Drosophila melanogaster: one gene and its partner. The protein of the gene in region 2 purifies or fractionates together with the protein of the main gene of each other region. This does not show direct contact. Each region holds a gene or a part of one and is shown on either strand. Other genes may lie near its edges.

Region 1 (3,365 bases), on a different chromosome or scaffold from region 2:
GCAATAACATTAGTAGTTTGCCACCCGAACTGGGATACCTCACTCAGCTGGAGACGTTCTGGTGCAATAATACTGGGCTCCTGGAGCTGCCCAACGAAATTCGTAACTGTGAACACCTCGAGACGCTGGGCGTACGGGGAAATCCCTTGAAGAAGTTGCCCGATGCCATAGGCGCTCTGTCCTCCCTGCGTTGGCTAACAGCCGAGGGCTGCGAACTCAGCGAAGTGCCACTGACCATGGCGTTGCTGGGAAATTTGGTGCATCTGAATCTTAAGGGGAATCGATTGCGACGGCTGCCCAGGATGCTGATGGCCATGCAGAAGCTGCGGTTTGCTTTTCTCAACGAAAATTGTATTGACGAGATGCCCACGCGGTCACAACTGGAGGAGTTGCGGACTCTTCACATGCTCAACCTGTCCAAGAATCCCATCAGCCTGCACCGCGATCTACAGCTAATGGCTTTGGTGAAGCTCCAAATTAACCTTTGTGTTTCTTTTTGTTGAATTTCTCTGAATTTTACAGCGCCAGACGAACCTTTATGTGGAGCTGCCGTCAGATCCCGCCAATATTTGCGATGGTCTCGCCAGTCGAGCTAGCCTCAACGCCCAGGAACAGCAGGAGGATCAGGCGCGAGGAGCAGGACAGGATCTAGACTCCTCCGACTGGGCGAACAGCGTGCGGACCAGCGAACTGGACACAACGGACGAGAGTGCGCTGGAGAACAACATCGAGGATCTGAGTGTCATGCTGCCGGAAATGTCGCGCTTTGTCACCACCTTTTGAATGCATTAATCTGTGTCAACGAGGTCTGATATTATGTAGCACACATAAATCTGTGGTTTATTCTCTACAACGGGGTGTTTTGTACATGTACCTCTAACAATCGTAGCGCTTCAAAAATGCACATTGGTTAAGCGGAAATGTGGGTTAATGGGTGCCAGGTTAACTAGACATCTTCTTCATCAGCTCCTCGTCCTGCATGGACATGGCCGTCAGCTTCTTGCCGATCTTCTCGTGAATGTCCAGATATTTGGCCACACAGCGATCGATGCACACCATCTCGCCTTTGCCTGTAGGGTGCGGAAAGCATTAAAATTACAAGTGTAGAATTGTGGTACAAGTTTCAAGATTTCTATTTAAATTTCATCAATCGAATCAAAGAGAAACCTGAAGTGATTGTCATAGAAAGAGCTGCGAACTAGATACAGCATTCTATATGGCTATGGTACTCACCCAACTCCGACTCGGAGTAGCGCGGCGGAATGCACTTTTTGTGGCAAGCGTTCGTCATGCGGTTATATAAATCGGACATCATTTCGATCTCCATTTCCTGCATCAGCTGCAGCTTGGCCTGGTCTGCGGTGCTGATCTGGGGCAATGCCATTGTGTGGGTGTGGGTGTGTTACTGATGGGTTTTAGGTACTGGATGCTGCCGCTTAGTAATCGAATCGCCTGTCCGATGCTGCGCTTGAGTCGTAATCCCCTTGGTTTGCCTTCCTCATGCGCTCACGCACTCGCATGCTCTCGTAACGCCGGTTCTCAACGGATCTCTTTGACAGCACAAATGCGTAGACGCCACCCACGGTCAAAACAGTCCTGTTTCGGGATTTTCAAACACCATGTAGTAAAGCTAAGTGTGTGTAACTAAAAACGATTTTTCTACAAACCAACAGACAGCGATTCGCCCTGCGTTGCCCAACGACATAGCCTGCTACGAAAAAACGACACACTAACGCGTTCCGTTGGAAGGTGTGCGGGATTTTTTATCACTGGCACGTGTGACAGCTGTCACATAGGGTTATTCCTTTCAATCGAAGTCACTGTATTGGGAAACTGTGATTTGAGTTGGTTCGGAATCAGAGTGAATCTGTATTGCTAGGTTGATTTGTTTTCTGGAACTGTACTTATTTATCACTTAATCAGCCAAATTACTTTATATGTTTGTCAATGGCTTTAATATAATTTAAAAATTGCAAATTTTAAATGCTACATGTTAATTATCAGTATCAGTGATAAATATGTTAGCAACATTGTGAGTATTTATTGCTTTAGCATATTTAAGATTTTGAATTTCATACTTGAAACCTTATTCATTTTTTTATCTTATAAGATTCTCAATATTTAAGTTCATATAAGATTTGAAAGTGACCTTTGTAACTCCGAATGTTTTTCAACTTGTGGTTCCCAACATTCTCTGGTCACACTGACTTGCTGTTTACACAATTATTTCGTAATTTTAAGTCATATTTTATCAATGAATTAAGATAAGGAGCGAGCAGAGCAACTCACAAATGACTTCGCAGATCTACAGCCAGAAGAAGTTCGTGCCCACGCCGCCCGAGAAGGGTTCCTTTCCCCTGGACCACGAAGGTCTCTGCAAGAAGCAATTCCTCCTCTACGCCAGTTGTCTGCGCAAGAACGCCCAGGATACGAGCCAGTGCCGCCAGGACGCCCAGAACTACCTGGCCTGTCGCATGGACAACAATCTTATGGAGAAAACCGAGTGGTCCAAGTTGGGCTTTCACGACCAGAGTACCAAGACCGATCAAAAAGAACCGGAGGTGCAGAAGCAATAGCCGGCATTGTGAGCCATGAAACCCGAACGTAATGTGATGATAGCGGCCACCGGAAGTGTGGCCACCATTAAGTTAGCCCAGTTAATCCGAGAGCTCTCCGACGAGCGCCTACCCTTTAAGTTCCACCTGAAAGTACTTATTACCGAAGCAGCCAAACACTTCTTTGAACTGGAGCAGATTCCCGAAAATGGTAGGTTGTCTAAATCTTCGGGTATTTGTTAACTTTAACTAACAAACTATTGCATATATTGTAGTACCCATTTACCACAATCGCGACGAGTGGATCACCTGGAACAAGCGAGGAGATCCTGTACTCCACATAGATCTAGGCAAGTGGGCGGATTTGTTGGTAATAGCCCCACTCAGCGCAAACTCTCTGTCCAAAATGGCCACCGTAAGTTTGGGTCGACATTTTACCCAGAACATTATTTCAGTATCTTTTTTATGACAGGGGATTTGCGATAATATCGTCATGTGTGTGGTGCGGGCCTGGGACCTTGAGAAGCCGCTGCTCTTTGCACCTGCGATGAATACCCGTATGTACGACCATCCAATAACTCGGGAGCAGATCGACAAGCTGACCAGTTGGGGCTACAAGGAGATACCCTGCATATCCAAGACTCTGATGTGCGGTGATACTGGCAACGGCGCCATGGCGGAGGTACCCACAATTGTGGAAGCGGTGTTATCCGCCTTTCAGCCGATTAAATAGTTATGCACACAAAGTTTATATCGCAGAATATTTTGTTACAATAGTTAGACAAATAATATGGAATTGGCTATGAAATC
Region 2 (6,091 bases):
GGAACTGAGAGACCCACCAGCATTTGTTGCGAAGTAATAGGAGATGTTTTTAAGATTAGGAACTAACGTGTAGCTGATGGTTTCATACACATTTCAACAACTGATGGAAGTAACGTTAATAAATTAAATAAAACAACGTACAACAAGGTGGCTTCAAGTATTAAAGCTTTTGGGGTTGCCCTGATAGGATTCATTTAGATTAGAACTACGATCAGATTGAGTACGTATATATATTAGAAACGTGGAGGTTAATTACTACAATCAAAACATACAGTGCTCGGTACGGGGAGTTCATATTCGTTTTAACAATACTTACAATCCAGGCTTTGCTCACCATTTTGAGCCACCCAAACCAATTCGTGATTGCGATTGAGTAGGTATTCAGCCCTTGTGAGTATCTCTTCGGAACAGATAACTTAAGTCTTTTATACCTGGCTTATCCCACATCTTCTCCAGCTACTTTTAAAACTCTTCTACTTGGACAGTGAATGATCTTCTTAGATAGATGGTAAACCTAAGCCCATTTGCATCGAATTACAGCGCGACCTATTTAAATTACGCCCTTTGCAAAGAAGGGAACGGTTCCAATTTGCAAGAAATGATGGGATGTTTACTAAAATATGTACGAAATTTATTATTGGTGTGAAGCGTACAAATTAAAGATCTATCATTATGTATCTATATATAATCGTTTATATGTACACTCAATTACACTTACGGGCTATGCAGAAATCAGCTTACGTCAATTACTTAAACAAATGTAGCGTCATACTCTTAATTACCTACGGGAAACAATTCCGTATTCTTTTAATCGATTGCCATCGGTCCGCGACCGCCCAATTGCGCTGGTGCAACATGGTCGACACTGCTAACTTAACTAAGACACAGGAGATCGTTGAGGCGTTGATGTTGGCAGGCAGCAGATTCCGCCGCCCGATCATGTCAGATGCGGCGTGGCCGCAGTCGCCGATTTCCCCGCAAAGAATCGACTTCCGCCTGTCTGGTTGGTGAAGAGTAGCGTGTCAACTGAGGGCAGCATCTGATTGGATCTCACCAGAAGAGGCACATTCACCATGGACACAGAGGGTGTCTGGGCCAAGCTCGTGGTCACAGACTGAACACCATTGCCCGTACTACTAAGCTTTCCGTGTGCATTCAGCGTAAAGGCGGGTAGATAGTAGTTCCCAGATCGCACTGGTAGAGCATTCGTCGATATGGCGACACTGGAGGCGCATGAGACAGCGGTCAGCTCCATGGAGGCGGGTGACGAAAACGGCGAGGACTCCAGTGAGGGGCAAGGTAGTCGGTCGCTGGGCTTACAAGGCACTACAAATATAAAATTTTAAATTAATATAAAGTTTTTAAAAGGAATACTATTTTATACGAATAACTAGGTAAATCAATTCATAAAACAGGACATTTTCATTAGAAACTTACAGAAGTCATCGTCTGGCAACAGCTCGTCCGGTAATTCATTCTTTATCTGGAAGTGCAGGGCAGCGGCCGAATCGGAAATGGCGTTGTCCGACGTCCCCATTTCAGTGTTTGCATTAGGAGCATCGTACAGACCGCACTCCTCCATCTCCAGGGCCTGCTCCATGATCAGCTCTTCGGCTGAAGTCAGACTAAGACCGTGTAAGTCAAGGAACGGACCCTGAGTCTGCACTGGCTCCTTCTTGATTTGCGGCACAGCAGGAATGGGCTCTAAGCTGGACTGCTGGGGTTGGCCCTGTTGCAGCAGCTGCGGTTTTTGCTGCAGTTGCTTCGGTGCTAGCTGCTTTCGTTCTCGCTTGGCTTTGGTCTGCTTAGGAGCCGGCGGGGCCAGCGGCACCAGCACAGTGGTAAGTTCCTGCTGATGCTGTTGCGCCAGCGGCACAGGATGCACTTGCTGCAGAGCAGTACCGGCAGGTAGAGTTATTCCCAATGCAGCAAGAGTGGCCTGCTGCGGCTGCTTCTTTTTCCGCGCTTGTTTTGCAGGAGCCGGTGCAGCAGTAGACGTAAGATTAGCCTTGGCTTTAAGTTCACTAGAAGCGGAGAGTTCGTTGGGATTCACAGCTGAAGATGCTGCCGCCGCTGCTGCTGCTGCCGCGGCTGCCTTTTGGGCCTTGTTTGTAGTGGACTTTTTAGAGCAGTAGGAGGGAATGTTCTCGAGGTGTTCGCCCGTTTTGTGGTCCACCTTGTGTCGGCGTCTCGTGTGCTTCAACCAATTGGGGAAGTTGGTGAAGTCTCGCGGACAATAATTGCATTTGAACGGGCGCATTCCTGTGTGTATGTTGGAGTGCTGCTTAAGCTTCGAATTGCTGATGAAGCTCTTGTCGCACACTGTGCACGCGAATGGTCGCTGCTCAAGATGCACCAAGTTGTGGACCTTGAGACAGCGCTCCGTTTTGTACATCTTGCCGCACTTTTCGCAACGATAGGAACGCGTTTGCGCATGGTACTTCTGGTGGCGCTGCAGATGTGAGCGCTCCTGGAATCGCTTCTGACACTCGGGACACTCGTACGGCTTCTCCGATGAGTGAATCCGTGCGTGGTGCGTGAGGTTTATTTTTTGCACAAACTTTTGGCCGCAGATGTCGCACTGGTACTTCTTGTTATCGCTGTGAATCTTCCGATGCATCCACATGCTTCCCAATTTGAGGCTAAAGTTAGAGTAAAATGGTCAATAGGAATAACTATTTTTAGTTTGCAGTAACACTTACCACTTGCCGCAGTCAGGACACTTCTTCCAGGTGTCCTTGCGGCCCTCGGTGCGGTGCGTCTTTAGGTGCTTCTTCAAACCAGCCAACAACTCGAATTCCCGCTGGCACTCGCTGCAACGATAGGTGAGCCTCAGCCTGTGAGCGGCCGCCTCATGCTTGGCCACCTCATCGGGCGTCTCCAGCAGCAGTCCGTTGCAGTCGAGACACTTGTGTAGAGGTGCCGGGTCCACCTCCAACGGCTTCGTTTCCGAAGCAGCCGGAGGCGGCATGCTAGCCGCATCCGCCACCGATTCAGCCGATTTGGCCTGCTGGAATATGGTAAACGATGGCGGCAGCAGCTCAGACTCGCACACCTCTACCTTGGTGACCACTTGCTCCGGCGGATGCTTCTCCTCGGGCGGCTCCTCCTTAAAGACCTTCAGACGCACCGCCGTCGCCGCCGGCAGCTTTGGCTTGCGTTGCAGCAGCTGAGACTGGGGCATTTGGAGCTGATGCTGCTGGTGGAGCTGCTCGGGCGATAGCTTTACGGGTGTGGAGGTGCCGCTGGACGAAGTCTTCTTAAACGGGGAATTAGTGAAAGCATTCGGGGGCTCGGGCCGCAGGAAAGTCACACTAAACTCCGAGCTGGAGTGGTTATCACTGGTCAGAGTGCTGGGCACGGTTGACGAGCTGGTGGCAGCCAAGTCATCGCGGCAGACGTCCGAGGATAGATTCAGCTCGGTGTTGTTCTGGGCACTCTCGTCCAAAACGCGCCAAAAGTCGGTGGAGGAGAGACTGTTACCATTGACCAGGCTGGCGGAGCTGATGGTCACGCACGCCGACAGATCGATGTCCAGCGACTCGTCCTTGATGCTCGATATCGAGTCGAAGTTGTTGATCCGCAGCAGAGAGCTGAGTATCTCGTCGTGGGCCGCCTTCGTGGGGGTGCCCGCATCGCCGCCGTAGATTTTAGGCGGCAACTTCTTGCTTGGCGCCTCCTCTTTCATTCTCTTGCCCTCGCCCTTGCCGCCTTCCATTCGCCTTGCCTTGCTTACACGTACAGGTTATGCGGTCGGCGTTTTCGCTCGCCGTATTTTGTCTTTGTTCGCCGCGCCGCTGACGCTTTGCGTTCACTGGTCGCCGTTGCCCGGTCACTGGGTCCCCAATTCACTCATCGCGATCGCTTTCGTTGTATTAAACGCGCCGCAATTGATCGAAAAACATTTAATTATTGTGAAATGCGCCTTGGCTTTGTTGTTTTTGTCACGCTTACAATTCTCGAGTCGCCATTTTGAGAACAGTGTTAGAAGACGCGCACGAGTGGCAGTCCCGCTAAGAGTGATGCTCGCCAGGCGGGTTATTAGCTATATTTAATTCACGACTGGATTCACCATTCTAAATAACATTTAAAGAGATTTCTTGACTCAAAAAGAAATCTTGTCCGACAAGGAAACATTTTACTTACCAATTCCATTTACATGTTTGTATTTACTTGATATAATTCACGATTATGTTGTATAGAAACTATAACAATTTTTTGGGCTTTTAAAATCCTATGCATTGAACATTCAAACCCTAAATATTAAAGGAAGTAGGCCCAATGATTGTGTTATTTGTTTATGTTTTTTATGTTAACTTAATAACCCACTAATTTATAATATGTGTAACATTAAACAAATTTTATCTTCTTTCATTAAGAATTATTTATGGTGATATTTAAAGTCCTCTTACCATAAAATATTTAAATTATATTTCTAGCTGGAACATGTAATTTCTGCTAGAATTTGTATGTTGAGATAGGTTCTGCATGCGCACGCCAAAAAATGAACTAGTTCGCCGAACTGGAAAAACACTGAGCACTTAGGCTATTTTCGTTATTAAATTATATTTTTTGATAGATTGTATATAATTCATTCATCAATGCTAAAAAATGATAAATATCGAAATTCGAAAAACCTCTGAAAAATATTCAAAATATAGCTATGAGTCAGTCGTCAGTCTTGACCAAACAAAGAGATATCGATATTGGCGGGACATGTATATCGATACCACGTTGCAATGTTAATATGGCGTCAGAGGGCGAAAACGTTGTTATGGAAAGTCCAGGTAAATTGATGAAAAATTACAAATACGTGCATTCCTTCGACCGGACCTAGTGACCGTTGATTAAAAATTCAGTCCTTACTAGCCCATTTCGGTAGCTGACACTGACAGTTAGCTGGAGCAGCCCATTAAAGCATTTGGAAAAAAGTGAACATCACGAGGCAGCGAACAACCCACAACACCGCGCGTACAGTTTATGTAAACCGCATGGATTAACCAAGAAAGTTAATTGACGTTTTCCAGGTCGCCGCACACGTTCTGGTCGGAAGGCCGCATCCCCGGCTGCATCGCTGCCAACCAGAAGCACCCGGCGCACATCCAAGCGGAACGTACAGGTCAGTTCATCCCACGTAGTTACCGCCTCTTCCAGATCATCAGCCAATGATGTAAACGATTGCAATTTCCAGTGTGGGTGTGGCGTTGTTCCATCCGCACATGATTCTTCTCCCTGGAGGAGCGAGTGATTACCTGCAAGGGCCAACTGAAGGCACAGCATCCACAAATGCTCTGAGAAATGCCGGGAACCTTCATTAACGACTTTTAATCCTTTCAGCTAAGTGACCACGAAGAGGAGGCCGAAGAGCAAGTGGTCATGGTTCAGGAAGAGGAGGAGCCCTTTAGAGGGACAAACACTGCGGAGGCACCTGCTTTGGAGCCCCAATTCGAGGAGACTCAGCACCAGATAGAGGATGACGTGGAAATGCTGCCAGCCGAAGCTGCTGGGGTTGATGAAAAGAGCTCTTCCTTCCCGTTTGGCACGGTGGCGGAGCTGCATTCAGAGACTAGTGATGATATTAAAGAGACACGCGGTCAGGCTGGCGTGGACACCCTACTGGCTTCTTTAGCCGGCGATAATGCCAACAGCCTGCCCTCCGTGGGTGGAAATGACGAGAGTGACAATGTCAAGAAGGCGGACTTTGAGTACAATGTAGACTCCCTGCAGCCGCAGATGGAGAAAATGAATTCCTCTGAGGACTCCAGCTCACAACATGCCATTGCCGAGGATCTGGCCGATGCGGACACCAGCAATGCAACCATTGTCAACACAGAGATAGTCTCCGAGGATGAGCTACCTCTGCCCAGCAAGCCTGAAATAAATGATGCCGAGGAAGTTTCCGATGAAGAGCTTCCAGCACCGCAGCGGGCTGAATTGCCAGAGGATGCTGAAGTAATCTCGGAGGATGAACTGCCCGCCAGTAATAACAATAACACCGCCACTGAGCCCAAGGCACCTTTGAAGCGCAAGGCGGAAAACGAAAGCGTTAAGAGCACCGAAGATAAGGATGCAAGCAGTCATGAATCAAGCA

What was found.
Region 1: the proteins of wdn (region 2) and Tim10 purify together in Drosophila melanogaster (affinity purification with mass spectrometry, with the first as the bait; one large-scale study listed by BioGRID). This does not show direct contact.

The regions. Positions count from the first base shown.
Region 1 is NT_033778.4:21,689,405-21,692,769, forward strand, and holds Tim10 (translocase of inner membrane 10), read right to left. Parts: upstream 1,736-3,365; 5' UTR 1,706-1,735; coding exon of another isoform or gene 1,668-1,705; 5' UTR 1,597-1,667; coding exon of another isoform or gene 1,437-1,596; 5' UTR 1,385-1,436; coding exon 1,234-1,384; intron 1,071-1,233; coding exon 943-1,070; 3' UTR 811-942; downstream 1-810. Other genes in the region: CG10307 (uncharacterized protein), read left to right, coding at 1-464, 523-783; CG42497 (uncharacterized protein), read right to left, coding at 1,437-1,596, 1,668-1,705; CG42496 (uncharacterized protein), read left to right, coding at 2,292-2,576; Ppcdc (phosphopantothenoylcysteine decarboxylase), read left to right, coding at 2,592-2,766, 2,831-2,970, 3,028-3,288. UniProt on the Drosophila melanogaster protein: Mitochondrial intermembrane chaperone that participates in the import and insertion of multi-pass transmembrane proteins into the mitochondrial inner membrane.
Region 2 is NT_033777.3:28,807,368-28,813,458, forward strand, and holds wdn (wings down), read right to left. Parts: upstream 3,971-6,091; 5' UTR 3,719-3,970; coding exon 2,703-3,718; intron 2,643-2,702; coding exon 1,438-2,642; intron 1,327-1,437; coding exon 938-1,326; 3' UTR 616-937; downstream 1-615. Other genes in the region: CheB98a (chemosensory protein A 98a), read left to right, coding at 1-66; Prp39 (pre-mRNA processing factor 39), read left to right, coding at 4,748-4,787, 5,028-5,119, 5,338-6,091. UniProt on the Drosophila melanogaster protein: May belong to a complex set of multifingered proteins which play an important role in gene activation or regulation at early embryonic stages through a maximal accumulation of their transcripts (or protein product) in the mature oocyte.